Lytechinus pictus: one gene and its partners. The protein of the gene in region 2 purifies or fractionates together with the protein of the main gene of each other region. This does not show direct contact. Links are inferred from orthologs where the notes say so. Each region holds a gene or a part of one and is shown on either strand. Other genes may lie near its edges.

What was found.
Region 1: the proteins of renin receptor-like (region 2) and V-type proton ATPase subunit F-like purify together in Homo sapiens (affinity purification with mass spectrometry; 3 studies listed by BioGRID and IntAct, counting the BioPlex papers as one, with this or other methods). This does not show direct contact. The link is inferred for Lytechinus pictus from reciprocal best matches to the Homo sapiens genes ATP6AP2 and ATP6V1F.
Region 3: the proteins of renin receptor-like (region 2) and coiled-coil domain-containing protein 115-like purify together in Homo sapiens (affinity purification with mass spectrometry; 3 studies listed by BioGRID and IntAct, counting the BioPlex papers as one, with this or other methods). This does not show direct contact. The link is inferred for Lytechinus pictus from reciprocal best matches to the Homo sapiens genes ATP6AP2 and VMA22.

The regions. Positions count from the first base shown.
Region 1 is NC_087247.1:60,522,461-60,533,323, forward strand, and holds the start of V-type proton ATPase subunit F-like, read right to left. Parts: upstream 6,664-10,863; 5' UTR 6,578-6,663; exon of another isoform or gene 6,549-6,577; intron 6,351-6,548; exon of another isoform or gene 6,303-6,350; 5' UTR 6,197-6,302; coding exon 6,149-6,196; intron 27-6,148; coding exon 1-26. UniProt on the Homo sapiens protein: Subunit of the V1 complex of vacuolar(H+)-ATPase (V-ATPase), a multisubunit enzyme composed of a peripheral complex (V1) that hydrolyzes ATP and a membrane integral complex (V0) that translocates protons.
Region 2 is NC_087260.1:13,863,965-13,874,827, forward strand, and holds the start of renin receptor-like, read right to left. Parts: upstream 6,661-10,863; 5' UTR 6,599-6,660; coding exon 6,538-6,598; intron 1-6,537. UniProt on the Homo sapiens protein: Multifunctional protein which functions as a renin, prorenin cellular receptor and is involved in the assembly of the lysosomal proton-transporting V-type ATPase (V-ATPase) and the acidification of the endo-lysosomal system.
Region 3 is NC_087247.1:17,304,089-17,314,951, forward strand, and holds the start of coiled-coil domain-containing protein 115-like, read left to right. Parts: upstream 1-5,618; 5' UTR 5,619-5,658; intron 5,659-5,805; 5' UTR 5,806-6,108; intron 6,109-10,557; exon of another isoform or gene 10,558-10,742; intron 10,743-10,863. Other genes in the region: tyrosine-protein phosphatase non-receptor type 12-like, read right to left, coding at 698-799. UniProt on the Homo sapiens protein: Accessory component of the proton-transporting vacuolar (V)-ATPase protein pump involved in intracellular iron homeostasis.

The DNA of each region.
Region 1 (10,863 bases), on a different chromosome or scaffold from region 2:
CCAAGAAGGAATCCTGTGCATGTATCCTGTAAGAAATAAAAAATTTCAGATGTCATGCATAAAAGAAATAACAAACACATTCAGAAAAATGGCTTCTTTTTCCATTTCCTTTCACGCAGAGCCTATCAGACAAATCATAATCTTCAGCTAATTTGCTAGCATAAATGAAGATAAACAGAGATGTGGAATCTTCACTGTATATCACAGTGGATTTGTACCTTGCTGTTCTACCACATTAGATTCATTTCAATGTCCTTGTGCGGCTTTAAATATAAGTCTATGGGAAATAAATATTCGAATGCAGGAGAATAACATAAGCTCAAACATACACATCAAATGGAACAGCAAACAGAAATTAAGTAGAATCAACTCAGAAGACACAGGAACATAACCGAACTTAACTCAATGAAGTCTGGTAGTGCACTGATTAATCAAGATGGCTTCTTTGCCTAAGTACATGTACATATGTAAAACTCAGAATCATATTAAAAAATTAACATACGCTGTAGCTGTATATTCAAATTAAGTAATATCAACCAGTCAAAATAAAAATAATGGAGGAGCCAACTAATAGAAGTCTAATTCATAAAATAACAAATAAAGTGAAGATGAATATAAAGATGTTGTGATGATTTCATAATAAGAATGTTTAACAAAAGAATCACTATCAGATGTGAGAATATAATGAATGAACACGTCTGAATAGGAAAGGAATGATGGGAGAAGCAGGTTGAAAGTCAAATGTCCTTGACAACAGAAGCATCAAGAATCTAAACAAATTGAACTAAATAACAAAACTGTAGAACAAAAAGGGAAACGAAATGTTAAAATAACAGTCCTACATTATATATGATTGGAAAAGTTGCCAATAATCTTCATTTAAAAAGATTACGGAGCAACCCAAAACGAAAGAGAGCATAGATAAATTAGAAAAAAAACGAGCACATCAATGATGTGGAGCTCATCCGGCATCTCGCAAAGAAATTTAACACAGTTTTTAATTTCAGCCCAGTTGACACTGTAGTGAATTATATTGGTGACATAAATTGAGGAAACAGAATTGAAATTGATGAGTAATGACAGAAGCATTTTTGTGATTTATGAATGTATTTTGTATAAATAAGCATAAATAATTTTCTAGTCAAAATTTCTAAATTCTGTGTAGAACCTTGATGAACCTCGTGTATAGCTCTCAGATGGAAGAAAAAAAATCAAAATTGGTCAACAAATTCATAAGCATTTTTTGTGAGTTTTGAATAATATGCAAAAATTAGCATGTTTAATGAGTTTCAAAATTCTGTGTAGAAATTTTGTATTCCCATCTAGAGCTATCATACAAAGCAAACACAAATTGAAATTGATCAACTAATGAAGGAGAATTTTTTGTTGTTGTGATTTATGAATAAATTTCTATAAATTAGTATTATTTTCAAGTTAAAATTTCAAAATTCTGTGTGGAAGTTTGGTGACCCTCATGTAGCTCTACCAGATGGAAAAAAAAAAAATCAAAATCGGCCAACAAATAAAGAAGCATTTATTTGTGATTATGAATAAATTTTGCATAAATTAGCATAATTAATTTTCTAGTCAAAATGTCAAAATATTGTGTAGAAGTTTGGTGAACCTCATAAAGCTCTACCAGATGGAAGAAAAAAATCAATATCGGTCAATAAATAAAGAAGCCTTTTTTGTCAATTTTGAAAAATGTGCATAAATTAGCATATTTTATGAGTTTCAAAATTCTGTGTAGAAGTTTTGAATCCCCCACCTAGTGCTATCATTTAAAGCAAACAGAATTGAAATCGGACTTGAAATGGCGAGGTAGAAGCATTTTGAAATTGTGGACGGACGACAGACGACACGGCATAAGCTAAAAATAGGCATAAATTAATTTCGCATAAATAAGCATGACAATTTCTCGAGTCAAAATTCTGTGTAGAAGTTTGGTGAACCTCATGAAGCTCTACCAGATGGAAGAAAAAAAATCAAAATCAGTCAACAAAAAAAGAAGGTGCATTTTGTGTGAATTTTATAAATTAGCATAAATATTTTTTTGTCAAAATGTCAAAATTCTGTGTAGAAGTTTGGTGAACATCATAAAGCTCTACCAGATGGAAGCAAAAAAATCAAAATTGGTCAACAAATGAAGAAGCACTTTTTGTGAATTTCGAAATGTGTATAAATTAGCATATTTAATGAGTTTCAAAATTCTGTGTAGAAGTTTTGAATCTCCCAGCTAGTGCTATTATATAAAGCAAACAGAATTGAAATAGACTTGAAATAATGAAGAAGAAGCATTTTGAAATTGTGGACGGACGACAGATGACACGCCACAGCATAAGCTCATCTGGCCCTTCGGCTGTCGCACAACTCTCACTTCCCTGACCAGTTTATCTGAACTTGATACATAAACATATGGCCATTGAGTACCTGTACCCCTGGGGCCCGTTGCAGAAAGAGTTGCGTTTAAACGCAAACCAAAAAATCAATTGCAAGTCCCACATGCGAGCTGTTGATTGGTTGAAAATCAAGTTGCGCATGATTTTTAGAGTTGCGATTGATTGCAACTCTTTCTGTAACGGGCCCCTGGGGCCCGTTACAGGTAGGGGGTACAGGTAGAGTTAGAACTTCGGCCTCTGTAATTGGTGAGTGGAACCAACGGAGTTCAGCGGAACCAATAAAACAGAGACCGAAGCTTTTGGTCTAATTCTTTATTAGCATTATTATCACAGACATTACTCAAAACTTACCCCAAAATTTCTTAAATAGTGAAAAATAAAGCTTAAATTCTCCATAAAATCATGTATGCATATTGGTCCATCACTATATGAATATACTATGTGGGCTAGTGGCTAAAAATAGGCATTTTATTTTTAGTCTGTATCCTGACTGAGGCCTGTGTGAGCCTCTGAGTGAGACTGAGAGGAGCCGTGGAAATATGTCACATCAATAGATAATCAACTTGGCTGCCAGAAAATGTGAAGATGTCGCTAAGTTTAACTACATTGTTCACTCAAAATATAGAATGAAAATTTGAGGCCAACTCACCTATTGACTTTTTGCCTAGCCTATACTATAGTCATGTTGCTGTTGTGTATCTTAGGTCCTAAAGTAAAACTAAGTACAAGTATTTACTGAGTAAATCAAGACTAAATTAAATTTTTAGTTTAACAAGAATCACGCAGATACACGTGTGTGCACATAAGGGAGACTCACACGCACCCATGGGTGTATTACTGCCGCCGTGTACAGGAAAATTGAAGGCACGGCGCATGCAAAATTGCAACAAACTCCTGCAAATTTCAGAAGAGGATTTATAAAATCAAGTCTTCCTACTAAACTAACCGAATGATGTGAAGTCAATTAATCCTACTATGATGAATATCCCTCAAATAGCGTCATTTAAGTGTTGAATTTTCTTCTCGTTGACAAAATACGGAGTGAGCTTGCGATTTTCCAATTTTTTTGTCTAATTACATAAAGAGGGCGCACGATTTATCCTCATATCAAACACACTACAAGGGAAAGACTAGGCACAAAAACTTTTTTACACGTAAATCAATGCAAAGCGTTACGCGAAGTCTGCAAAGTGTCCCATCTTTTTACTGTAAAGACTTTGGTGGAACGTTAATTGACCAATTTAATACATGATTATAAATAATTATTATTATTATAATAATTATTCATAATCACATATAAAATGTTAGTACTTGTTAAATAATCATTTTTATCTACTATACATTGTTCTTCAAAACGGCATTTTGTAACATCGCTTATCGAAGGTAAGTCATAACGAAGCAGTTCAAGGGTCAGACCCACTCACACAAGCATGCGAGGTTAGTTGTACTAACCTCACACAACGCATGTCATTTCATAATGAATTTTGACGTTTTCATTCATCACACGAATGTGAGAGAATGAAACACGCCAAAATCTTCAAAATATACTAAATTTATTAATCTAAATCTTATCATCTAATTTAATTTAAAAAATGTGCTCGAACTTATTTATAAAAAGTGATTTTAAATGCTTACCTCCAAATCTCAACCAAGATAATCTGTCCGATCCTTAATACTGCGGTGGAAATTACGCAAACAACAATCGAAATGCAAATTTTTCCTATCGAACAGTCTAGATTCAAGTCGTTGGCGCATAATAGGAAATTGCACCAAAAAAATCAACAGGTTGCATCTCACGTATAATCGCTGATGGCGCTACATCATAAAATAACGCTGAACAGCAAAAAAAATGCGGAGCGCCTAGAACGCAACCAGCAGTACAGCTGATCTGACGTGAACGACGTAAACAAGCAAGTTTATTAAATTATATCGCGCGCCCTCTCTGTGCGTATAGAGAAAACTAGCGAATTAGGTCCATGCCTTCTTCGACATCAAGAAAAATCATCGATATAAAGTACCAGAAAGACAGAGGAAATGAAATTGGCTTCATATCGTTTGATAAGTTTCATATCCAAAGCTTATCTAATTTAATATATCTATCTACATGATCTATTTCTAATTTTAACAAAATAGCCATAAATTTATTGCAAGTGCCGTGCCAGTGAGTGGTTATCCTGTGCACGGCGGCGGAATGTACCCATGGGTGGGTCAGACCAGTGGGTCAGACCTAAGTATTTGCTTTGTCATGTTTGTTGACAAACGGATCGAGGGATCTACAGAAACCTTCAATTTTTCACCTTTTTATGAACCAATTTTTGTAACCTTCATACGCATTAGGCGTATGAACTTAATGAAGGTGTAAAAAAAAAATAAATAAAAATAAAATCACAAACATTTGTTAGTACGTGATTTCGGTCAACAAAGATGGATTTCCTAGGGAAATCCATCTTTGTTTTGATGTATCTCTTATACATATATGGGAGGCGGTACAGGCTCCATGATGAATATGTCAAAATATTAAAAATATCATCACGGGGCCGATTGCACGAAAGGGTCTTTGCAAGGACAGTCTTTCGTGTCGCCCATTTTTTGTCATGCGCCATGTGAAACGCATTTTAAATAAATTATCTGCAAACATATTTTACTCGTCCATTAAAATAAACAAAATATTTGTTTATAAAATGTGATATCTCATGAAATTGTATAAAATTTGATTTAAAAGCAAGCTTACGAATTGTATGGCAGTGAGTCCAAACTTCGCGCGTGTCCATACTTCGCGGACGGTCATTATCTAAAAAACTAGCCAATATCCTTAAAATCTGACATCATCAACGTGAAAAGTGACCTAAAATTATCCTTTGGTGTAAGTTTCTTTCGGATGAGTTCAGTATTCATGAAAATATTGACAAAAGATCGGCAAATTTGTCACTGTTAGCGCCCGTTTTGAAGAAATCTGATATTCTCAACAAGCATCACGATATCACCATTTTGCAAGCAGAAATCATCAAAAATGTGAGTTAAATGTGGTACTAACCAATTCTATAGCATTTTGCCGTCAATCTGATATAAATATTTCACTTTTTGAGCTTGAGATTTTGTTTACATCTCCACAAAAACTTTGGTCCGCGAAGTTAGGTCACACTTTTTCAGATTAGTTTTCCAGCACGCGCGCATTCGCCAATCGGAATAGAATTTTGAGATCGCGATACCGGCGAAACCCCTTGACCTACTTTACATTTTCGTCCATGATTTTTTAATTAACGATCTTGCCGTGAACGTTGTAACTATTTCTTGAATTAGTTTTGTATAAATTATGAATATTTTGTGAACAAATTTAAGCCTGATGAATATTTTTGAAAAGTCTGCGAAGTTTGGACACCCCATCATATTTATTTGTTTATCATAAATTTCAGAAACACTCCGCTTATACAAGTTATAGCGCATCATAAAAGATGGGCGACACGAAAGACGGTCCTTGGAAAGACCCTTTCGTGCAATCGGCCCATGGAGTCCTCAAGCCAGGAGTCAAGCCAGGCTACACAAAATTACATTGTTCACGTTTGCACTCAAAATGACTCATCCACTGCACTGCATGGTTATGAACGTGTGGGACTTTACGTCTGGAATGGAATATAGTGCGCCAATAGCATCGCGCATCAGCTCTCTCGTTCATCACACTCACAGTTCTAGTCTAACGTTAGATCTGTGAAAGCAAGCTTAATCCTATATGAAAATAATATTGTACTCACTTCATCGCCAATTACAGCTACGAGTTTCCCTTTCGATGAATGCGCCATTCTTGACGTTAGTAATGCTCTCTTTTTACTTTTAGCCTAGGTCTTACTTACAGTCTCAGCTAGCTCAGCTAAGCAGCCTCAGGTACTATCAGGATATGAGTAAATTCTGTAAAATAAAGTGCTATAAAATCTTGCACAGTCGGCCATGTCCATTCTGTTTAAATAGGGGACATCAAGAACGTGAATGTTGTTAAATTTAAAGCAGCTTTAAAGTTAAACAATAACTAAGGTACAGGCACAAATCACATTTGATATTTCAATAAATTTTGATTGATTCAAGCTGGTTAATAATCGATGCGATTCTTTTATAAATAAATAATTAGTAGACCCTATAAGTTTTCTTTTTAAATACATGTATTTCAGTCCTAATTCAAAACTCACCCTACAAATAATGGGCCGGAGTAGAGTCAGCCAACAATAAGCTAGCCAACAGCAAGCCAGCCAACAGTTCCAGCCAACAATATCGCGATGTAAGATAGATCAGATACAGGATTTTGCGCAGGAAGAGAAGCGTGCATTCTGGTACAAATCAAACATACGGGGTCAGGTGGGGTTTCCCTTCTTTCAATTTGTAAAGAAAAACAACGGGCTAGCATTAAATTTTAGTAGCCCACACCCCTATATACTCTATGTGTTTTCGTATATTGAGGAGTAAATTTCAACTAAAAGTCCTCTTTATAAAATACAATTGGAAGATTGCTCCTGAAATTTATTTTGGGTGTGTGTAGGGGGGTTTCCCTTCTTTCAATTTGTAAAGAAAAACAACTGGCTAGTGCTTTAATTTTAGTAGCCCACACCCCTATATACTCTATGTGTTTTCGTATATTGAGGAGTAAATTTTAACTAAAAGTCCTCTTTATAAAATACAATTGGAAGATTGCTCCTGAAATTTATTTTGGGTGTGTGTATGGGGGTTTCCCTTCTTTCAATTTGTAAAGAAAAACAACTAGCTAGTGCTTTAATTTTAGTAGCCCACACCCCTATATACTCTATGTGTTTTCGTATATTGAGGAGTAAATTTCAACTAAAAGTCCTCTTTATAAAATACAATTGGAAGATTGCTCCTGAAATATATTTTGGGTGTGTGTAGGGGGGTTTCCCTTCTTTCGATTTGTAAAGAAAAACAACGGGCTAGTGCTTTAATTTTAGTAGCCCACACCCCTATATACTCTATGTTTTTTCGTATATTGAGGAGTAAATTTCAACTAAAAGTCCTCTTTATAAAATACAATTGGAAGATTGCTCCTGAAATTTATTTTGGGTGTGTGTAGGGGGGTTTCCCTTCTTTCAATTTGTAAAGAAAAACAACTGGCTAGTGCTTTAATTTTAGTAGCCCACACCCCTATATACTCTATGTGTTTTCGTATATTGAGGAGTAAATTTCAACTAAAAGTCCTCTTTATAAAATACAATTGGAAGATTGCTCCTGAAATATATTTTGGGTGTGTGGAGGGGGGTTTCCCTTCTTTCAATTTGTAAAGAAAAACAAGGGGCTTGTGCCTTCGTTTTAGTAGCCCACACTCATATACACTCCTATATATTCCTCGTTTTTATATATATTGAGGAGTAAATTTGAACTAAAAGTCCTCTTTATAAAATACAATTGGAAGATTGCTCCTGAAATATATTTTGGGTGTGTGTAGGGGGGTTTCCCTTCTTTCAATTTGTAAAGAAAAACAAGGGGCTAGTGCTTTAGTTTTAGTAGCCCACACCTCTATATACTCTAGGTTTTTTCGTATATTGAGGAGTAAATTTGAACTAAAAGTCCTCTTTATAAAATACAATTGGAAGATTGCTCCTGAAATATATTTTTGGTGTGTGGAGGGGGGTTTCCTTTCTTTCAATTCGTAAAGAAAAACAAGGGGCTAGTGCCTTCGTTTTAGTAGCCCACACTCATATACATTCCTATATATTCCACGTTTTTATATATATTGAGGAGTAAATTTGAACTAAAAGTCCTCTTTATAAAATACAATTGGAAGATTGCTCCTGAAATTTATTTTGGGTGTGTGTAAGGGGGTTTCCCTTCTTTTAATTTGTAAAGAAAAACAACGGGCTAGTGCTTTAATTTTAGTAGCCCACACCCCTATATACTCTGTGTGTTTTCGTATATTGAGGAGTAAATTTCAACTAAAAGTCCTCTTTATAAAATACAATTGGAAGATTGCTCCTGAAATATATTTTGGGTGTGTGGAGGGGGGTTTCCCTTCTTTCAATTTGTAAAGAAAAACAAGGGGCTTGTGCCTTCGTTTTAGTAGCCCACACTCATATACACTCCTATATATTCCTCGTTTTTATATATATTGAGGAGTAAATTTGACTAAAATTCCTCTTTATAAAATACAATTGGAAGATTGCTCCTGAAATATATTTTGGGTGTGTGTAGGGGGGTTTCCCTTCTTTCAATTTGTAAAGAAAAACAAGGGGCTAGTGCTTTAGTTTTAGTAGCCCACACCTCTATATACTCTAGGTTTTTTCGTATATTGAGGAGTAAATTTGAACTAAAAGTCCTCTTTATAAAATACAATTGGAAGATTGCTCCTGAAATATATTTTGGGTGTGTGGAGGGGGGTTTCCCTTCTTTCAATTTGTAAAGAAAAACAACGGGCTAGTGCCTTAGTTTTTGTAGCCCACACTCATATACATTCCTATATATTCCACGTTTTTATATATATTGAGGAGTAAATTTGAACTAAAAGTCCTCTTTATAAAATACAATTGGAAAATTGCTCCTGAAATATATTTTGGGTGTGTGGAGGGGGGTTTCCCTTCTTTCAATTTGTAAAGAAAAACAACGGGCTAGTGCTTTAGTTTTAGTAGCCCTTACCCCTATATACTCTATGTTTTTTCGTGTATTGAGGAGTAAATTTGAACTAAAAGTCCTCTTTATAAAATACAATTGGAAGATTGCTCCTGAAATATATTTTGGTGTGTGGAGGGGGGTTTCCTTTCTTTCAATTCGTAAAGAAAAACAAGGGGCTAGTGCCTTCGTTTTAGTAGCCCACACTCATATACATTCCTATATATGCCACATTTTTATATATATTGAGGAGTAAATTTCAACTAAAAGCCCTCTTTATAAAATACAATTTGAAGATTGCTCCTGAAATATATTTTGGGTGTGTGTAGGGGGGTTTCCCTTCTTTCAATTTGTAAAGAAAAACAACGGGCTAGTGCTTTAATTTTAGTAGCCCACACCCCTATATACTCTATGTTTTTTCGTATATTTGAGGAGTAAATTTCAACAAAAAGTCCTCTTTATAAAATACAATTGAAAATTGCTCCTGAAATATATTTTGGGTGTGTGTAGGGGGATTTCCCTTCTTTCAATTTGTAAGAAAAACAACGGGCTAGTGCTTTAGTTTTAGTAGCCCACACCCCTATATACTCTATGTTTTTTCGTATATTGAGGAGTAAATTTCAACTAAAAGTCCTCTTTATTAAATACAATTGGAAGATTGCTCCTGAAATATATTTTGGGTGTGTGGAGGGGGGTTTCCCTTCTTTCAATTTGTAAAGAAAAACAACGGGTTAGTGCCTTAGTTTTTTTAGCCCACACTCATATACATTCCTATATATTCCACGTTTTTATATATATTGAGGAGTAAATTTGAACTAAAAGTCCTCTTTATAAAATACAATTGGAAGATTGCTCCTGAAATATATTTTGGGTTTGTGGAGGGGGGGGGGGTTAATATCTCTCAATTTGTAAACAAAAAGAAAGGGCTAGTACTTTAGTTTTAGTAGCCCACACTTCTATATACTCCAGTTTTAAGAATATTGAGGAGTATGTAAAAAAAAAAGTTCCTGATAAATGAAGAAAGCTATCGTATTTTTGAAGGGGGTGACCCTTTTTATTCAATTTTACAGTGCGTATCAATAAAAACGGGACAGTTATGAAACGTCTATCAAAATACCCTTTTGAATTATTGTTATGTGATGATAAGATATATCTCACATATTCAATAATATATCAATACATAATCAATACTTAATCAATGCTTCTACAGAAAGTATAACAGGAAACTTCTACCAATTCCAACTTTCTTAAGAAAGTATTACTCATCCATCTTTCAGCTAAACTTCTGACCACACACATTTTATGGGTTTGTTATTCACATTTCATGTTCTCCCTATAAGGTCAACTCCCCCAATTCAGAGTAAAGTTATGACGCACAGATTGTTTTGGTCAAGCGTCCAAGGTTGACCAACACCTGTTTGGTTGTAAAGAGTCTAGACCAGACCAATATAAAAGGGGTTCACTTCTGAACCCAAAGGAGAATGCAGATTGGTTTACAGATTACTTTAGAGATTGTTCCAGCATACAGACAGCTACAGAAGAGTTTATATTTTATACTGCAGAATTTATATTATCTTCATCTTTAGAGTATAGTCACCATCAGACTTACTCATGTATTTGTCATCATCAGCTTATTTATAATCTTCAATAAATGTATATATGAACTGTACAGGCTTTGTATTGCTTCGTCTCATTTATAAGTCTGGTTGAAAGTTAAAAAGCGCAATCGATCCAACCCAACACAACATGGTGGAGAACCCGTATTTCAACCAGCAATAGTCATGCCATACATATATGACAAGAGATGGAGGATTGCTTTGAATGCTATCTTAAACATTTTACCAACTGCCTCTACCTCCTCCTAAAT
Region 2 (10,863 bases):
ATTTTTTGTTTATTTTATATTCAAATTCATTGTGTTCCCTACTAATCTTGAAATTGTTCGTTGACACTTGGCAAAATTAATGAGCATGACATTTTATACCAAACCACTGAACCAAGCCTTCGTGTTTGGTTCAGTTTGGAAGTGACAAGTTTGGCGAACTTGCGTTCGGTTCGGCGGTTCAGTTCCAGCACTACTTTTTCCCATTAGATACATGTACACTGTAGGCGTTTCATTATGATCTGTACAGTACAATGTGGTATTGGGAATGGAAGCTGGAAGAGAATTCTAAAGATGTGGGGTAGAGCTTGAAAGGGCCTACAGATGTACAATGTAGATGTTTCACCCCCCAAAAAAAAATTTTTCTTCTCTTTTTTGACAGTTAAAAATAACTTTTGATTTGTAGAATTAAGGGAACTACAGGATGGAGAGTACATGTACCGTATGCCTGGATTAATTTAGAAAGGTGCTTTTGATCAGGCCAAGGAGAGATTAAGAAAGTTACAAGAACAATTAGCAACGACATTGATGCTGAATGAATGTGTTATGGACTGGTAATACATGTACAAGCAGTCATAAGCGCATGCAAACAGTAATAATGTACAATTCATTATTTTCCCCCTCAAATTGGGGTTGTTTTATGCATAATTAATTGAGCATAAACTCAATAAATTCTATGAAATGTCTGGATGTGTTCTGTGAGGAAATACAATTACATGTACATCATGTACTTTGGTCTTAAGGGGTCTACACGCATACAAATTAATTTGTAATTTAGAAAGGTGTTTTTGATCAGGCCATGGAGAGATTTGAAATATACAAGAACAATTAGCAACGACAATGATGCTGAATGAATTTGCTATGGACTGGTAATGCATACGTGTACATGTACTTTGGTCTTAGGGGGTCTACACGCGTACAAATTATTATGATGGCAAAAAATGAGGTTATTATCAAATAAACAAATATTGAACAACTTTTATTCAAAGTATATGTAATGTAACAACATTACCCATATTTAGATTCTTTGAACAAGTTGCTTTTGAATAGAAAATGTACAGGTCTACAGTGTACACTAATAAAGCACATGGCAATGATGAAGCAAAAATCATAATCTTGAGTATAAAGCTACATTTTAATGTTAAAAGTTTTTCTGCAATATCTAAATTTGTCTCAAAGCTTCCTTTCACAAAATATTGTACACCCGACCAATGTATGTCAGAATGGGTTGTTTGACTATACATAGGCCTACACTGTACTTAGATGGCAATTTCAAGAACTTACATGTACAATCAATACTTTGATCGAATATCAGACAATACTACAGAGCACAAATACTCACCATAATTTTTGCTATTTAATGCATGACTTTTGAGAAAATCCAGAGCAAAAGATGTTTTTATCTGCATTACCAGTATAAAGAATCCAGACATTTGCCCTCTCCTACTTACATTATCAATATGTTTCTAAATTTTTCTGTTTTAATTGCCATGACAATGTTTAATACCAACTTACATGTTTCTCAATGTCTCTCAAAGTCTTAAATGTGTCACAGTGTTATGGCCTTGATTTGACAGCCCTTTATGACAATTGCACAATGCATGTTTGATAGATACAGATACATGTACATATGTCTGCATGGGCATGTCGTGGTCGAGTGGTTCTGACTCTTGCCTTTCAGAGGGTCGTGGGTTCGAATCCTAGCCGTGGCGTGTTTTCATTCAGCAATAAATTTATCCACACTGTGCCGCACTCAACCCAGGTGAGGTAATAATAATAATAATAATAATAATAAACAGTTCTTGTATAGCGCATATCACGATTATGAATAATGTCTCTATGCGCTTCCAAAGGACTTGGATATTATTACCCCAGCTGTAGCTTGGCAGCCGTAATTACTAAGATTACAGCGCACATGCATTTCAAGGAATAAATTCCTGCCAGGTACCCATTCACCTCACCTGGGTTGAGTGCAGCACAATGTGGATAAATTTCTTGCCGAAGGAAATTACGCCATGGCTGGGATTCGAACCCACGACCCTCTGTTTCAAAGTCCGGAGACTAATCCACTGGGCCACAACGCTCCACACTCCACAGGTAAATGAGTACGGGTAGGAAATAATTCCTCAAAAAGCTATGCGCACCTGAATCGGTAGCCTACATGTGTAGCTTAGACGGATAATAATAATTACAGGGCCCGCTGGGAGAACAGTTTACGGAACTGAAGTGGCTACCATGGGTAAATTTACCGTTATTATTATGGGGGCCACTGCATTGCAAAGCATTTCAAATGACAGGCATTGCAGAGAAAAATAATGAAAACTACTAGTGAAGGTTTGAGGAAAATCATCAAATATCAGAATTTCATGTTTTTGATTTGTGACGATATAAGACAAGCAGTTGCCCCATGTACATGTAACATAAAATTTGGAAATTAAGTTTCCATTTTGTCATGGTTCATGACATGTCTTCATGACTAAATAAAAATTCTTTCACTGGAGGTACAATAAAAAGCAATTCCATTTTTTGAGAAAATCAATGACATGAGTTACATTCATTTAATTTTTTTACTACACAATATATTGAGAAGCTACATACATGTAGCTGCTAGTATATTATGTCACAAATCCAATTATAAAAATTCTAATTTAATATCTTTTTAAATCTTTGATGCATTTTCCTCAAAGCTTCACAAGTGATTTTTTTATCATTTTTATTCTTGCTATTTTCACAATAAACTTTGTGTCAGGCCTCAGCTAAGGTTAACTTCCCCTTTGACCCTGCACCAACACAGCATTCGCAGTCAAAGCAAGACAACTGAGAATTTGCAGTTGACTGAAAATTGAAAAAAAAACATCCACATATCAGCAGCACATCCAGGCTGGCCACTAGAGTGGAGAGGAGGAGTAAGTTTGTAGAATACTACTACTAGTATAGAAAACTACAGAGTATCACATACTGTTCTAGTCTAAAACTAGGCCTTAACTATTCTAGAAGTATGTTATTAGACTAGAACATTGATACTGGGTCAGATGTATAAAAAGTAGCAATTGCTAGCATTCAATTGCTTCAAGCACAAGCAATACGTGTAGCTAGCCAAGCAAAAGATCACACTTCAGCAATTGCTTTATTTCATAATGGTGGAGCAAACAACCGCCGCTTAACTAAGGCGTCTATGGAGAAAGGGGGCACTTTTGCACCCTCGATTACTCCTAATCCTAAATCTTTTGCTTTTTGACAGGGTAAAAGGGAAGAAATAATAAAGATAAATTTATATCAAATTTCAGCTTACCACCTTTGCGAAAATTATGCTGGAAAAAAACGAATTTTTATGACAAACAGATCAGGATCCGCCGAGTTCTTCTTCAATCACTGTCAATGCAACTACATGTACATGTAGTATGTACAGTTGAGCATACGTGACGGCGATCGAAGAAGAACTTTGCTGATACCTAGCCTTGAGGACTCTGTGATTTCACAAATACAAAAATTTAATACGTGATCATAAATAATTAGTATAATACTACTAATTAAAATAACGCATTAAATTTCAGTATTTGTAAAGTAATAATTTTTACCTATAAATTGTTCTTCAAAACGGCATCGCTAATCGGATGTACGTCATAACGAAGCGGTTCAAGGGTCAGGTCTATTGTATTCGCTTTGTTAACAAACGGATCGAGGGATCTACATGAGATTGGTCTGGTAAGAAACGTCTCACTTTCACCATTTATAGTGAAATAATTTTTATACCTTTATACGCATGAAGGTTCATAGATATATAAAATTCACCCCTACAAACCGATTTCACCCTCTAACTATGGATTTCCTAGGGAAATCCATCCGGGTGTGTACATGTAGGTCTCGCTGCAGCGTCTATGGAAAGAGTGTCAAGCCAAGGCTCCATGTCTGAAGAAGTTTAGATCTAGGCCTATGTCAAAATATTAAAAATATCAGACATGGAGTCCTCAAGTCAAGGCTAGCGCTGGCCTAGACAGGAATAACCATCGTTTCTGGGGATTTATTCAACAATTTCTGACATTTTACAATCATGTATCATTGGTGAGTGAGCCAACGCAGTTCAGCGGAACAACCAAAATTACAGATTTACAGAGACTGAAGCTTTTGGTCTAGCCAAGGCTCGACATTAGCGGTGGCCCGGTGGCCCGGGGCCACCAGAAATTCACCTCGGGCAACCATTATTGAAAAAATGTTAAGTCTTGGTGGCCCGAATCGGGCAACCAATAGTTTTTAAAGTAGCACAATTTTTCTCCCGATTTTGCACGCATTTATCAACTTTCTACAACTCAAATTGCAAGCCAGTTGTCATGCGCCTTTTTTGTTGATCTACACACAAATACACACACACAAATTTTGCATAGTCATGACAGTACTACCGCTACAGCATACAGTAGCTGTTATCCAGCCGGCCGCGCCGGCAGGCTGGAATGAGCTAGCTTTGCATGAAGCCATGCGCAGCTAGCTGTGCGCTGGCAGCCTACCGGTATTCAGACTCAGGGAGCTGCGATATGAAATGTTGCTGCTAAGAAATCTTCCACAGAACTCTGAAAATTTAAGTCAAAGCCACATTTTACGCCAATGAAATGCCCTTCTACAGTCCATATTACTAAAAATCTGGTGTACCCTGATTATTTGCAAGCATTAAAAAGAGGAATTATGACCTCTCTTTTGACTCAAAAAGACCGATTTCTAAATGAATTAATACACATAAAAACCCATAGGTGAGTACATCACAGTCCCATGTGTGCATTTGTATGTATGTTGATACTTTGTTTCTTTCGGAGCTGTGTCTTTTCTAGCCAAAAATAAACAGTTTCTTTCTTTCTTGTTTATAAATGACTTCTTAAACCACTGTTGAGAAAGTTTATACTTTGGGAAGGCATTTTATTGATATGAAATGTGAATTTTTCCAACATTTTGGCAAATATAGGGAATGATTTTTTTCACACTTTTTTTTCCAGATCTATATAACTTTTGCAGTTTTTTTTTTTTTCTTTTTTTTTTATACCCCTTCCCATTGAATATGCCTGATTAAAGAATATGTTTCTACTAAAAAAAAATAATACAAACTAAAGGATATAAAAATAGAAATGCGCCATTCCCAAAAGATAAGTGAAAATTATTTGCTTGGCTTTTAATTATATTCCAGTCAGAATAGACTTTAAAAAATATTTGTAATGGCTTCTTAATTTTCCCCCTTTCCCCATTTTTAAATTAATTTTGTTTTATTCATTTTTCTTTCATTTACTTTTGTTTCTTTAGTCTAAATCTATTTTTCTTTTTCATTTTCTTTCTTTTGTTTTATTTCACTTATTTCTTTTATTATTTTTGTTTTCTTTTTGTAATATACTTTTTGAAAATTATTTTGGTTTGTTTCCCCATTTTATGCATTGTTCTAATATTGCAGCATATATTTCTGTGATTTTCTCCTGCTATAATATGCTGCAAAAGAGAAAAAAAATAAACTGGATTTGGGGCCTGCATAATCTAGGTTTTAGGATTCAAAGAGGAAGAAAGGAAAAATCATTGTTTTGTACATCTATCTGAGTTTGTTATGCACTGTTTATTTACTTTACCATTTTGAGTCTGTGTCTATAGGGAGATTAAAAAAAAAGTCCACACAATTCATTTATTCTCTTTCAATCATTACATATTTACAATGATAGAACAATTTCTATTTTACCACAAATCAATTAGCAAAGTAAAAAACAGCAAACAAGGTTTACACACAAGATGTACAAAGTGAAAGTAACTTAGTGGTACGTGGTAGTGGCTGCAGAATTAATATTTCAGAATGTTTAATGTTTTTCTTTATATTTTCCGGGCCACCAAACTTCAATATCGGGCCACCAAAAAAAATTATTTGAAGGTTTTGGTGGCCCGAACGGGCCACCACCAAAAAAAGTTAATGTGGAGCTGAGCCTTGGTCTAGGGACTCTAGCGCTGGCCTAGGCCTAGTTAAGCGGCCTTTGTTTGCTCCACCATTACGAGTACGAGCCCAATGGCAGTCATCCGTCTGTGTAGGAGGTAACATAGGAGAAGAACAAAAAGAATCAGAAAATGTTGAAAAACTCCTCTGAAAAAAACAGCGGATAATTTGACAATTGACAATGTGATGTCTGATGACTGACAAATTTCTTTAATTTTTCATGAAAAAAAGAGCTTGGAAGTTGGAAAAACAAAGTGATGATGCCTGGTTCCATTTCTCAAAATGACAGAGAAGAGAATCGATGTAAGTAGATCTAATTGTTTTATTTAAAATAATTAAGTAAAAAATGAGGGAGGCTGGCCGTGGCCCCGCGAAAATTCGTCGGATCCATATCCAAAGCCTCACCGGCCGCGCCCCCGCCCCGCAGCTTCGGGGTACGGTACCGTAGTCGGTGCCGGTGGAGCAACTCGACTCCTCCGGCTGCAGCGAGTGAACGAAGAAAATTTAGTACTTCCTTTAAAAATGTTAATTTCAAAAAGCGAATGAATGAAAAATTTTATTGCAAGTGTAACGAACCATGTTTTACTTACCATAGGTGCAAAGCAATGACAAACAAGTCACAAAAATAAATACACTCATGGAAGTCGCCATCTTGACTGTGCAAATGAGATCTCAAATGCAGTGCAGCACGCGCAGTAACAACACAGAGAATCCCCATTAACTAAATCACGGGACCCCTGCGGACCCGTACGCATCCGTTCAGGCCTTATCACAGCGGCCCGGATGTAATACCCCTACCCCCTCCCCCTCCCTTCCTCATTTTCATGGAGGGTCGTGTACGTGCTGGAACGGGGCTGGAACGGAAGATTCGGTGGAGTCCCTTTTTCTTTTTTCTTTTACTTAGGCCCTATTATTCTTTCTTTTTTTTTGCAAATGCAACACCGTCAGGGCCTATTGTGTGGATCGGAAATAAAAACAAAAGCAAAAAAAAAAAAAAACCCGGGGGGGGGGGCAGTTACATTGACGAGTGGATACCATGCGCGACCAAAAAAAAAAACGTATAAAAGATGTCTTTTTCAAGATAGGGCACGTTACGTACGTAACGTAATAAGATTTCAAAAATGCTAAAATAATGAAAAAAGGTATCTATTTACGCTAGGAAAGCTACGCGTTGAAGCGTCGTGGTGTAGCAGTTCAAGTGACTCTCGGCTTGTAATCAGAGGGTCGTGTATTCGAATCCCACCATGGCCTAGCGCCCCTTGGCAAGGCGTTAATCCACACTTTGCCACTCTCCACCCAGGTGTTAAATGGGTATCCGGTAGGATGTGAAAGCCTATATGTAGTATGCCAGCTAGCAATTGAGTCTTGGAACTCTTGTTGGAACGCTCCCCAGGGAGTGGAGAAGGTGCATACATTGTATGCGGGCATGCAAGGATCCGATGACCGGGGTAATGTCTGTAAAGCGCTTAGAGATGTCGTTCCCATGTATTAGGCGCTATATAAATGCGGAATATTATTATTATTAAGTGTTTAATTAGGGTCAAATTTGCGAGGGTGAAAAAATTAAGACTAAAATGTTTTATAAAGGAATAAAGGATGTACTTTTTTCCCCAAGAGTTATCATTACGTGTTGAGAGTAAGATTTGCGCGAGATGTGGGAGGTGGGGCTGTACTAAACCCTAAGATGTAGGTAAAAGTAAAACCGATGACCGACGTCCGTGACATAGCAATACAAATATCGCTGTACTTTTTTAGATGGTCAATTCAGGAAATACTTGGCAAGAGTATCGTTTTGTTTCCAAAACTTGTTAAAGGACAAGTCCACCCCAACAAAATATTGATTTGATTAAGAAGAGAAAAATCCAACAAGCATAACACTGAAAATTTCATTAAAATCGGATGTAAAATAAGAAAGTTATGTTTTCAAAGTTTTGCTTAATTTCACAAAACAGTTATACGCACATCTTGGTTGGTATGCAAATGAGGAGACTGATGATATCATCCACTCACTATTTCTTTTGTATTTTATCATATGAAATGTGAAATATTATAATTTTCTCCCCATTGTCGATTGAAACAGTGATCTATTCCTCCCTGAACATGTGATATTAGCATTGCTTTATACTACAGTGCGTATAAAAAAAGTTTACACTTTGAAAAAGCCGTGGGAATTAAATAATGTACAACATGTGGGTAATTTTTGACATATAATCTTGGGTTTGGGTCTCATCTATCCAATGAAAGTAAAAGTTTTGACAGAATGTTACACTTGAGTGAGCACTGTCCATTTTTGTAAAGCTCGCAGAAATCTGTTTGCGCAGAAATGCTCGTTTTCATTCTGTGTCAAGGGGTAAGGGAGAAATCAAACTTACCCTGCGAAACATTTCTCATACATTTCCCTTGCACTTTTGGTCAGTTGAAATAAAACGGATACATTCAAGCATTTTTGCCACCCAAAGTGAAATTTCAACACTTAGTAAGCACAACCTCTACCCTTTTTGCGCCAGCTGTATCTGAGGACATACTGAATCTGAACAAAAGTTTTTATCAGACATCTCCTCTAAGTTTTTATCATTTAAAGTGGGTTTACATTTTATTTTTCATTAATACTTGTTTCTCCACACTTTTCCCAAGCTTGAAAATGATTAACAAAATGAAAATCAAGCCTAAGCCATTTCATGTAAATCACAGCTCAGTGTAAGCAAATATCGTCACGATGGCCTCGGTATGTGGGGGAGTCAGGATGGGGTGCAATACACTCTTCGAAGTGTTTTGGGCAAGGAAACAAGTTTAAAAAGGTAAAAGATCTCTTCAAATCAATTTTACTAGCTAAATTCAATGTGTTCTTCATGATTAACATTCGCATAACTATTTCAAAGTTCTGCGCAAATCATTTTTCACTAACTTTTCAAAAGTAAGTGGCGCTTACTCAAGCGGAAATATTTTTCAACAGTTATATTGTCATTTGCTTAAATGGATCTGTACCAATCTTAAAATGTGGAAAAATCTTCAGGATATTACAAATGTATAATTTTACAGGATTTTTTCTAAGTGTAAACTTTTTTATGATACGGACTGTATAATGATTCAGTCAAGTCGGTCCCTATGGTCATATCTGTAAAGACTGAAATATTGTATAATTCAAACTATAAAAAACAAAAGAAACAGTGAGTGATGGACATCATCGACTGACTCATTTGCATGTCACTGAGTTGTGCATATCACTGTTGTGTGAAAAATAAGCGAAACTTTAAAATGCTATAACTTTCTTATTTTACATCCGATTTTGATGAAATTTTCAGTGTTTTACCAGTTTGATTTTTCTCTATTTATTCAAATCAACATTTTGCTGGGGTGGAATTGACCTTTAAGGGTAAGGTTTCACTCGCCAATACTTGTTAAGGGGTGCATTTTCAGAATATGGAAAATACGCGTTTAGGGTGCATTTCTAGACCCCATGGTCGCGCATGGTATCCACTCGTCAATGGAAGTGGCCCCCCGGGGGAAAAAAACAAAAAAAAACCAATGAATAAAAATACTCTTAATTTTTGGTTAAAACTCCCTTTTTATTTTGCTTGTCAAATTTTTTCCCGGGAAAATATGCCCCCCCCCTTGGGAAAATCCTGGATCCGCCCCTGACCTTATGAATAACCCCGCCGAGCTTTCATGTTTTTATCTAATATTTTAGAATAAAACATTTTAATCAGTTCTCTTATCAATGCTTGGGCCATCAATCTTCGACCATGAATCTTCTTTTATAGCGCCATCTAGGAAGAACCCCGTCTTTAAAAAAAATAATTAAAAAAACCCCAATATTTAAAAAATTCACCTAAAATTATTGTAGGCTAGTTTGAGAAAATTGCAGATTGAAAAAAAAATTATTCATACGAATCCCATTCCCATAACCAGGTAGTAATAATAACAGAGTTCCTTGCCTCTCAAAATCAGCGTAAAAACCCTTTGCCTTGGTTGTATCAATATGAGTACTTGGACAATCTTGAACTTAACCTCCCTTTTCCCTACTTGAAAACCCCCATCATAAGGAAGGGGGTCATTTCCCCTCCCCCGGTGAGGCCGCCCTTCATTCGCGGCTAGATAAAGGATGGTACTAATATTTTCCACTCATTATATAAAGAAAATGCTTGAAAGCAAAATATTGTTCAATACGAGCCACATTGATAAACTATCAAGCATTTTCGCGATTTTTGTTGTTTAAAGACTGGTTAAATATGTTGCTTCACGGCCACTTTTCTACAATTTTTCCGCTTTTCTCTTGATATTTTCGCTTTTCTCAATATTTCTCTTGCGAGTCCAAGTAGGCCTACCTCTCAATTTTTCCGGCTTTCTCTCACTTTCACCAGAAGTTTCGATCTCCTGCCTTTTTTAATGATTTCCGGTTTCGTCGCACACTTTCGCGCTTTTCTCTCATAATAGCTCCCTGTTACCATCTCTCTAGCTGCACTCAATACCACTATTGTACAGATTGGGGGGGGGGGGTGGGACTTGCTGTCATACTCCCTCAAGATTCATGTTCAAGAACAAAAATGGAAAGGAGAAAAGGAAGAAAAGTAACAAAAGGTCAGATATGATTTTTCCTGAATATTAGGTCAAAGATATATCACAAAATTAGATTTGGAAAAGGTCAAAAATTTCCTCGCTCGCTTTGCTCATTTGGAACTTTTAAGATTTTTTTTTTCAATCACACTCCGTCGCTATTCTTTGCCACCATCAATTTTTGTAGGCTTATTACGCCCGGCTGCAGCTTATTCATGCATTTGCTCCTTGTGAACCCAATAGTAAATTTCTCATCTAGTTACCAGTTTAATATCCTAAAGGAGAAATAATGAATAAATCTAAATCTAAATAAATTTGGCATTTAGACTTCAAAAATCACAGAGGAGATGGTGGGGATTTTT
Region 3 (10,863 bases), on a different chromosome or scaffold from region 2:
CAAATTATATTACTGCCTACTTTTTTATGGTTCCAGATTGAAAACATTTTCTCAATGACATGTGTCTTTTGATAAATTTACATGTACATCTACATGTATATTGAATGCACAGGTAAAATCATTTTAATTTTTCTAAGAAAAATGTTGGAAGAACTGCAAGTAGATACTGTAAGTGATGTTATATCACAATTGAAACTTGTTCCAACATCAAAAATCTGTCTCAGAATAAATCAAGTTTTTATATGGATGCTTGGAACTTCCAAGCATCCATATAAAAACTTGGTTTATTCTGAGACAGATTTTTGTTGAACTTTTTTTATCGTATTTCTCAATTTTTTAAACTTTCATTTAAATGCAGCTTTATATTTGGATGAACTGCCCATTTCACACTAAATATACCACACAAAAAAAAGAATCATCTCTACCTACATTGTACAATCACGAAAATGCAATGTATACATGAAGATCTTGACAAAATGTAGTCTGTAGAACAATTGATAGACATAGTGATATAATGAAAAATAAAGAGATTACATGTAGGCCTATCTAGCCTTCAGGACTCTGTGATATTTAAAAAATACTTTTACATATACTTTTACATCATGGATGTAAAAATATTTTTGAAATATCATCACGGAGTCCTCAACTTAAGGCCTACATGTACCATGCCAATGTAAAGTAAACTAAGGTAACTTACAAGAAACTCAAGTTCAAATGCATCAGATCCATCCAACGATGACAGATCCGCCATGTTATCATAGTGTTCAAGAAAATTCTCTAAATTCTCCTTCAACGACATTGTGGATCACTTGCTGTAACTAGTGAAAGGCAACAGGCAAACCTGAGAAAGAATGAAAAAAATCTAGTCCAACTCCAAGTCCAACGTTTGATCACTCGTCATCAATCACGTTTAAGTGGAAATCCAACACTTTCTGACTTATGAACCATACAAAAATAACCAATATATCCACAAAGGGTAGTGTTGCCACACTTAAGTCAACCTGCACTTCAATTAACTTTGTGAATGTCAGTCAGAATCAACGAGGATACCACGCACAGTGCAGTTTTTTGCAGATCTAAAGTCAAGACTAAGTTTTTACCTTTTTTTTCCAGATGTCATATGCCAAGAGTGTAATGTACAAACATTGAGAAAATTCAACATTATTTTATATTTATTATGTACAAAATACGGGTAAAGTCACAATCATGATTGGAAGACAGCTGAGAGCAGATAATGGGCTCACCCACAGAAAGAGAGAGAGAGAGAGATCGGGGATTCAAGAAATCCGCCCCCTGGATTTCGGGCCAAATGTATCTCTGACGATCGTTGCGTTGGTTTTCAGCTGGAACAGAACAAGGAAGTGCCGTTTCGATAACTGAATCTTCCCATGGCGATGAAATAAACTGCTTGTAATTCACATTTCATCTCACTACAAACATGACAATTGACTGGCATGGCATGTCTTGTAAAAGCACAAAAGCTTAAGTTAATGATCCATTCATTTTCTTAGGAGAATAACGTAGTCGCAGAGCAGGTTATGTTTAATCCTAGATCGATGGAACGACCGAAAATATGACGCGTGTACTGTACTTTGTGGACAAAATAATTACAGTAACTTTTTCTGGCATATAAATAGCGCGCAGCATGCAATTTAGATCCAGAGTTTACCAGCGCCATCTCTTGTTTATAGATAATTACGGTATATTTCATTTCATTTCATCTCGATATGATTTTATCTCAAACCAATCGAATTCTTAAATTCGTTATCATCCAAAGCATTTTTAAATAACATGGATTTATCGGGAATTTTGTGCAGATAATGTGCGCTCATAGCACCCCTGATCTATGTATACAATAAGATATATTTAGATATGGTACTAATACACTGAAGAAGAAGAAGAAGAAGAAGGAGGAGAAGAAGAAGAAGAAGAAGAGCAGCAATAGACATTCTACTTTGATCGATGAACAGGCTTATAGTCCTACAACATCGTTGGAGTACTAAACTAACTAAACTAAGAAGAAGAAGGAGGAGCTCGGGAAAAGAGGGGAGGAGGAAAGGAAGGGAAAGACGAAGGACTTGTCTTTACCCCATCATTATTTTTCTCTGTGTAGGGGAACTGATCTGCGATGGGGTTATGACCCTGTACCCCCCCCCCCCTCCCGAGAAACTAAAGAGAGAAAAAATAGTCTAGCTCAATGACTTTTGTTAGCACGTTACAGATTTAGAACTGCTCAATACATGTGTAGCAAACTTGATTTTCTCACCGCTCGTAAGCTGAAGTTTTATTTTTTCAACTGGCACTTTTTTATCAAAGCTGGAGTCCCTCCAGCTTTGATCATGCTTCAAAAAGTTTCATTTGCAAAAATAGAAAAGCTCTCAATAAAAAGCTATATAGGGAGAAGATTTTCTGGGACGTGTCGCAAGCCTTTTTCTAAAGTCCGTTATTCAACCCCGGTATTCAACAAGCTAAGTTTCTGTATTTTGAAAACAGCAAATTTTCTCTCTCGGTCGCAAAGTCCCTCGTAGATATAAGCAACTGAAATTAATTTTCATGATGGGGGGGGGGGGGGGTTCGAGGCTCGCACAAACCAATTCAATACCCGAATAACAAATTTTATACCCCTATTCCCTCAGTTTGGAAAATTACAATTTTTCTCGTAGCTCCCTCGCATGTGAACATTGAGGATTGGTGCCACGGATCTCAGTAAAGGAGCCAAATTTAGGCGGCACTTAGCGTGCTACGTACAGATTAGGCCTATAGTTGATTTGGGCCTTAAAATAAATGATAAGTGAATAAATGAATTATGAACAAATGCATGGCCATGAGGGAAGGGGGGTGAAGAAAATTAATACAGAACAAAAGAAAGAATATAAAAAATTAAAATATCAATTATTATCTTCTAAAATGATAAAAACTTTTTTATTAAAAAAAGAAGATAGTGTAGGCCTATATACTTTCCATTTCTTCACCTTCTTCGCTCATTTGTGACTTTTCAGAAACTTTCCTTTAAATGTCATTTTGTGCCCCCTTAAAATATTTTACTCAATTCAACAATGCCAGCACAAACAGGGGAAGTGGGCGGGTTAATGGGGCAATTTTCCCCGGTCCCCAGATAGAACCTTGGTCTGCATTTCCCATTAGCTTTAAATATTATGGTGACCATGCCTGACTACGGGAAGCCTATATATCCCACCATTTTTTTCGTGAGAATCCCATGCCAGCTGAAAATAATACGATTTAAACATATAAGTCAAAATTAGACAAACAAAACGCTGAAACTTCATCAATATCGGACAAAATTAAGAAAATTTATATTCATCACTTATTATTTTGTATTTAATGACATTAAATTATATATTTATTCAATTTTTGTCTTTCAAGAATGAAAAAAAGATTTTCTAATGCTTCAATGTTCGAGATGAATTATTGCTTCAACTGTTACAATGTATGAAAATATGAAATAATCATAATTTCATGAAATAACCCCGGGAAGTAACATGTCAAAGAAAAAAGGAAGTGGGGATTTCAGCCCACGTATTGCATAATTATGATGGCGTGCATGTATTTTTTTTTCACAATTCGGGTAGAATTTAAAATCCAATTAGTTAAACTTCTTTGTTATCAAATTTTGCCGAAATTTTTAGCTCAATTGCTTGGTGACTTTTACTGGATTTATTCAGATCCCATTGAGTTCTAAGTATATGTTTATATTAATTATAATCCTTTCCAAACTACATGTAAACATGAGGCTATAGTGATTATGATTAGACTATTCAGGGGCTGCGAAACCGGGGGGGGGGGCTTGGGGGAGGGGACTGATGCCCCCACTTTTTTCCAAAATCGTGTACAAAAACGTAAAAATTACCATCTGATTATGATTTTTCGCATTTTCAGCCCCACATTCGACTAAGCCTCCCCCCACTCTTTTCAAAACTGTTCGGCCCATGCTAGTCGCAGAATCGGGGGGGGGGGGGCAGAAGGAAAATCCAGTAAGACCAGTAAGAATTTGTACCGGTTTCCAGTATAGAATTTTATTGGTTTCCAGTATAATTTTACTGGGCCAGTTGATTTTTAACTGGACCAGTAAAAATTAACTGGAGACCAGTTCCAACAATTGCATTCCAGTTGAAGCAATTAGTAATACCAGTTAAATTGTTTTTCATCAAACTGGTGTTACTGGTCCAATAAATGGTTTCCAGTAGATTTTTACTGGTTTCCAGTATATGTTTACTGGACCAGTTGATTTTTAACTGGACCAGTAAAAATCAACTGGAGACCAGTTCCAACAATTGCATTCCAGTTGAAGCAAAGTAGTAATACCAGTTAAATTGTTTTTTCATCAAACTGGTGTTACTGGTCCAATAAATAATGACTTTAATTATTTCAAGTCAGATCATTTGACGAATTATGGAAAATGAATCTTGCAATTTTATTTAGAGAAAGTTATTATCGTTATCATTTATCATTGTTATCATCATTATTCTTATAATTATCATAATTATTATTATTATGATTATTATGATCATTGTTATCATTCTTGTTACTGTTATCATTGTTATTGATATTGTAATTATTATTATTAATATTATCATAATTATAACATCATGAAAATAATTATTTCCTTTAATTATGATTAAGATCAAAGCAGATATATTCCTCTGATATAGTCAACTGGTCTAAGTAATTAATTGTTTGAAATTGAACTGGTCAAGACCAGTAATACCAGTAATTCTGATGATGCTGATCACGTGGTTTACCTCATTTGCATATTTCTAGTTTTTGAACGAAAAGTCAGGATTTAGAATGGAATATCCTTGCAATGGCACTCATTCATTGTTTAAAAACTTTCTAAATAAGTGTGTGAGTTAATTCACAATGAAAATGTGTAATTTCATATATCACATTTAAAATAACAGCAGAAAGATTAATTTACTAACCATCTTTTCCATCACATTTCACTGACCATGGTATATAACAAACCAAATGCATGTAATAAATTGATCCAGTAAGACCAAAACGAGGACCAGTTCGAGGACCAGTCAGACCAGTAGAAAATACCAGTAAAGACTAGCTTAAATTGGATACCAGTATGAAGACCAGTGAGACCAGTAACAACAACCACCAGAAACAAGACCAGTATAAAATTCCAGTAATTCAAGACCAGTTTAATTTTAACTGGACCAGTATGACCAGTTAAAGACCAGTAAACCGATGTTCCAATTTCCAGAGTTACCAGTTAAAATTCTACTGGTCTAACTGGTCTAGTGGAACTGGTTTTTCCTTCTGGGGGGCAAGTTCCCGGCGCCCCATTTTTGTCAGAAAGAGTGTGCAAAAATGTGAAAACTAAAACTATGATTTTATCTGCATGTTAGTCTCCCCATGCACCCTCACACACTTATGGCTTAATGGCTTTGTCAGGCTTATTCCTGTTTTCTATTAGCATGTGTAATAAGTTGCGCGTATATTGGATGATTCATAGTTTATGTTTCTTTAATTTTCATCTTGTAATATATGGAATATATACAGGGGCGGATCCAGGATTTGCCAAAAGGGGGGGGGGCAATATTTAAAAAAAAAATGTTGACAAGCCCCCCCCCCCAAAAAAAAAAGGTTTTCAACCACGGATTAAGGGTATTTCGTACAAAAAAAAAAAAGGTCTTCAATTTCAAAAGAGGGTGCACACCTCTGTTTTAATGGCATTTTTACATTACAAATTTTTCATTTTGCTTCTCAAAGGGGGGGGGGGCACGTGCCCCCCCCCCCTGGATCCGCGCCTGAATATATAATATTTATTCATTTTAGGAAGGAAAAAAATACTAGAGGCTTGGCCGAGGATCAGGAGGACGAAGCCGGGATCGGGAGCAAGGGCCTTGCCGTGCGCGATGCCGGAGCGCGGCGCGGCCGGCCGGACGTGTACCAATATTGGATACGAGAAGAATGTGCATCTCCTGGAATCACGTAACGACTGGTCATTATTTCTCTTAAAAAGTTAAATCCTACCACTAAGCACTATCACTATAGTATCAGGCACCGAGTACATGTAGCCTAGGTCCTGTTAATTAAGAGCAGCTGCCCGGGATTATTGGATGCAATTTTGAAGTGGTGGTAAGCATTTAAGTCTAACTCTAACTTATTTAGTACCGGTACAGAGTTTTTTCTGAATCAGTCCCATGAATTCAATTCCATGCTGGTTATAAATATCGGCACTGCATAGCCATAGCATAGTCTAGACAGCTGGCAGCCGTCTGTTTCGAGGAGTTTCTTAAACATTTTTTTTTAAATTTCTCTTCGTACACAGACAGCTCGCGATCGTGCTGCCGCCATTAGGGGGTTAACAATGCAAAGTCCCCCCGACGGGGCTCATCGATTTTTGTCTTTATTTCATTAAAAAAAAGGACTGGACCACTCATTCAATGAACAAGGTATGGCAGTGTATCCTATTGCCGGACACCTTTATTTCAGTCCTTTAAAAATGACAACTAGAGGAAATACAATCAAGAAAAATTCGCACTAGCTATTCCAAATATTATGAAAATTATGAATGTGGTAAAATTATTTTATATTTACCAACCATTTTCTTTGCATCGCACTTGCCGCATACCCCTCCACGAAAAACAGTTATTTTCGTGCGTGACAAATTACATCATGATTCCGGATGCGCGCCGGACGGGTAAAGATATTCTTGATTATAATGATGTAAGAACCCATTTGTGTGATTTTTTCTTCTTATATCATATCATGAGTAAATTCTAAGTTTTTGTTTGCTGTTTTTATATCGATTCTGAGCAGATGTTGGTAATAAATTCGTGTTTGATAACTTATTTTATTTTTTCTTGTTAGCTGCATGTTTCATGGAACTTTCCAATATTATGCCCCATATTATGCTCGTTCGTATCGTGACGCTTATCAAGTTCTATCGATGCGCTGCCGATCGTCGACGTACGGCTCTATACTCACGGTAAACCTCGCGCACGGGTACCTTGAGAACTAGCCGTCGACGATCACCCACAATACACCACACCTCATCATTCGACCGAAGGAGCGGACGAGATTGAAATTCGGCAGATCATACCCATATTTCCGTTAGAAAATATATCAATTGTTAATGCAAAACTATGTAATTTGATATTTTAAGCATTTTCTGTCATTTTAGAGATAAATAAGGTAAAAGTTTGATTTTTTCGCCTTGTGTTTGCAATCCTGTTCTATGTATTGCTCTGTGAAATTGAATTGTGGAAGTCTTACGGTACGAAATTGTTTTCGTACGCAGTAATATGAGCGTCCGGAATCATGATAGTGTCCGGTAATACAATACGTCACTATAATTAATACTAGGACTAGGTACCGGTCACTCTAGGCGACACCCCAATACTTACCCGTGCTAATAAACTGGGACTCCACTCACGCGCATTTGGGCCGCCCTAGCTTAGAACTAAGCTTTGTTTTACTAAAAAATAAATCTTGTAATGATTCAATAAATGTTACTTAATAAATTAGTACTGTTAAATCGGTACTCACCGGTTCTTTTCTTGAATTTTCTGGCAATTTCCCACGCTTCTGGCTTCAATTCTGCGGCTGTTCCTGTCGCGGTAGACAGCTACATATGCAACTTTATTTATAAATAGAGCGCCCCTTACGATAGTTGTTAAGAACGCGGCCAAATTGTTAGGTTTTTTGCACTGTGTCCAAGGCGTTTTTATTTTGTTTGATTTTTTATTTTTAATAAATATTTTGTTAAATAGCGATTTTTACGTCAAATATTAAATTCATATCACAAAATATTTTTAATTGTAGAAATATATATAATATCATGCAATTATTCATTCTATATATATTTTATAATAAAATTTATAATTGTTGCGGTCTTTAAAAAAGGATAGTCGATTGATCAGGTGATGACCACACGTATCACGTGATCTGAAAATCAGCTTCATACCGCTTTGATCGCACTCGACGGTGACCGGACTGACTGCCAAAAAAAGATCGAAAAATGACTCAAATGTAAGTTTCCCTTTATTTTATTAAATTCAAATTAGGAATAGGAATATATTTAATGGGCAATCTTTTAATAAATGATAAACAAACGAGGACAAAACTCATATTTTGGGAGTAATATCATACTTGGGTGCAGGAAACAGTACGTTTAGAAGTTCTAACCTGTTTTTAACGCATTGTCGCCTATGAGGTCCATACATGTTAATGTTTGGACCTCATTGGTACTAGGAGTGGTACCGGTATATGAATATGATATAACCTTGTTCTCAATTATATCTCCATGTGTGGCGAAATAAGGGTGGCAATGTTTGGCTTATTTTCTCTTTTTCTTTGGGACAAATGCTTCGTCATACAACTTGGCCCTTAAGTAAATTTGATTCTTTACATTATTCTTTTCTTAATTAAAAATAGAGATTGAAAAATGACAATTTTCTTGCCATATTACTTTCCACCAATAGAGGGCGTACAAAAATATGCCCAAAATTCAAGTTTTTGAGCGCTCTAGTGAATACAAAAATTATTCCCAAGTTACTAATGAAAAATAAATTGTAATTGTATGGAAATTAGTAATTTTGGTCACAAAAGTGATATTTTAATGATTTTTTAAAGTGTGTGCTGTGTACAGCATTGGCATGCCATAGTCCTACCTGGCTGTAGATTCCCCACAGGCAGGATGGTTGCAGTGAACAAGTGGACTGGACCAAAAACCAAAAAAGATCTATTTTGTTTTGGCCTGAAATGCACCAAAATTGAAAAAAATTAACTTAAAAGGGAAAAAACAGCTCTCGCGCAACTTCCACTTCCCTGGTTTATCCCAGCCCACTCACACTAGAGCGAGGTTAGTATTTTTAATTAATAGTAGGCCTAGAGTCTAGACCTATAGCAGGGTGCTACATAACTTTTTTGAAGCACTTGCCCAGTCGGGCAAGTAAATTTTCAAATAGTTGGAAAATACTTGCCCGAATATAGATTTCACTTGCCTGAAAAAATTCTTCAAAACAAAGTTTTATTGCTTCAAAACAAGTTATAGGCTTTAAAAATACATTTTTTAACATGACTACTGATGTACCTTGTAGTTGTATTTCTTTTTTTAAATGATTTTTATCTTGAACATCATGACAAAATATATGGTCAATATGCTCTTTAATTAATTCCCTAATCTCATATATTTTCTATATATTTTGGAGGGGACTAGGACACACAATAAAAAAAGGGGAAATCACTGAAAATAACCAGAGAAAAAAAAGAAATTAAGAGAGGGAGAGAGAATGAAAGAAAAAAATAAGAAAGACAGAAAGGACGAAGAAATAAAGGAAGAAAGAAAAAAAGAAATAAAGAAAGAAAGAGAGAGAGAGAATGGCTGCGGGGATGAGAAAGATGGAAAGAAAGAAAGGAAGAAATAAGGATGGAAAGAAAAAAGAAAGAAATAAAAAAAAATGAGGGGAAGAGATAGGAAGGAAAGAAGGGAATGAAAAGAAAAAGAAAGAAAAAAGGTAAAAAGAAAGAAAGGAAGAAAAAGGTAAAGGATTGATGGAAGGAAGGAAAAGGGAAAGAAAGAAAACAAGAGAAAGGAAAGAAGGAAGAAAGAAAAGAAAAAAAAAGATAGAACAAAAGACAGAAAGAATTAAATGAAGGAAGGAATGAAGGAAAGAGATGAAGGAAGGCAGAATGAAAAAATAAGGAAGAAAAGAAAGGATGGATAGAAAAAAAAGAAAGATCAAAAGAACAAAAGACAAAAAAAAAGAAAAAAGGAAAGAAAGGAAGAAAGAAGGAAGGAAAGAAAAAAAATAGAGAGGAAAAAAAATGAGGGGAAGAGAAAAGAACGAATAAAAAAAGAAAGAAAGGAAGAAAAAAAAAGGTAAAGGATTGATGGAAGGAAGGAAAAGAGAAAGAAAACGAGAGAAAGGAAAGAAGGAAGAAAGAAAAGTTATAAGGATAGATGGAAGGAAGGAAAAAAAGAAAGAAAAGAAAGATAGAACAAAAGACAGAAATAAATGAAGGAAGGAATGAAGGAAAGAGATGAAGGAAGGCAGAAAGAAAAAATAAGGAAGAAAAGAAAGGATGGATGAAAAAAAGAAAGATCAAAAGAACGAAAGACAGATATAAAGAAAATCAGAAAGAAAGAAGGAAAGAAAGGAAGGAAGGAGAAAGAATGTAAGACAAAAATAAAGGAAGGAATGAAGGAAATAAATAAAGAAAGAAAAGAAAGAATGAAAGGGATGAAGAAAGTAAGGAAGAAAAAAAGACGGGAAGAAAAGGTAAAGAATGGATGGACGGAAGGAAGACGGTAAGAAAGAATGAAAGGAAGGGGAAAAAGAAGGATTAAAGAAAGGGGTAAACAAAGGATGGATGGAAGGAAGAAAGATAAAAAGATAGAAAGAAAAAAATGACAGCTATAGCAGGAAAGGAAAGATTGAAAAGAAAAGAAGGAAAGATAGGCAGAAAGAAAGAAAATAGAGAGGAAGAAAGCTCAAACTATCCAGTCATAAATAAAGAAGAAAATTTATCAATTTCCTTGGATAAAAAAAAATAGTTACGAAAAAAACCACGTTTATCAACATACACACAAATGCATATGTGGGACTGTCAAAACAATGTATTTCAGTGTGTGCGATGACAGACGATCATGTGAAACCCGATCTTTTTGAAGCATAACAGAAGTGAAAATTTCTCCTATTACTGCTTACAAATGACTGAGCTACCCCAATTTTTAGGAAATATGGACAATACAAGAATTTTCATTGGTAAGAAATGTGAAGTTTGTCGGTTCTGTGGGAGATTTCTTCCAGAGCAAACTTCGTTCATGCAGCACCGTACTCCGTAGAAACTACATGCATGTGCATCGGCTGCGTGGACTAGGCGCTA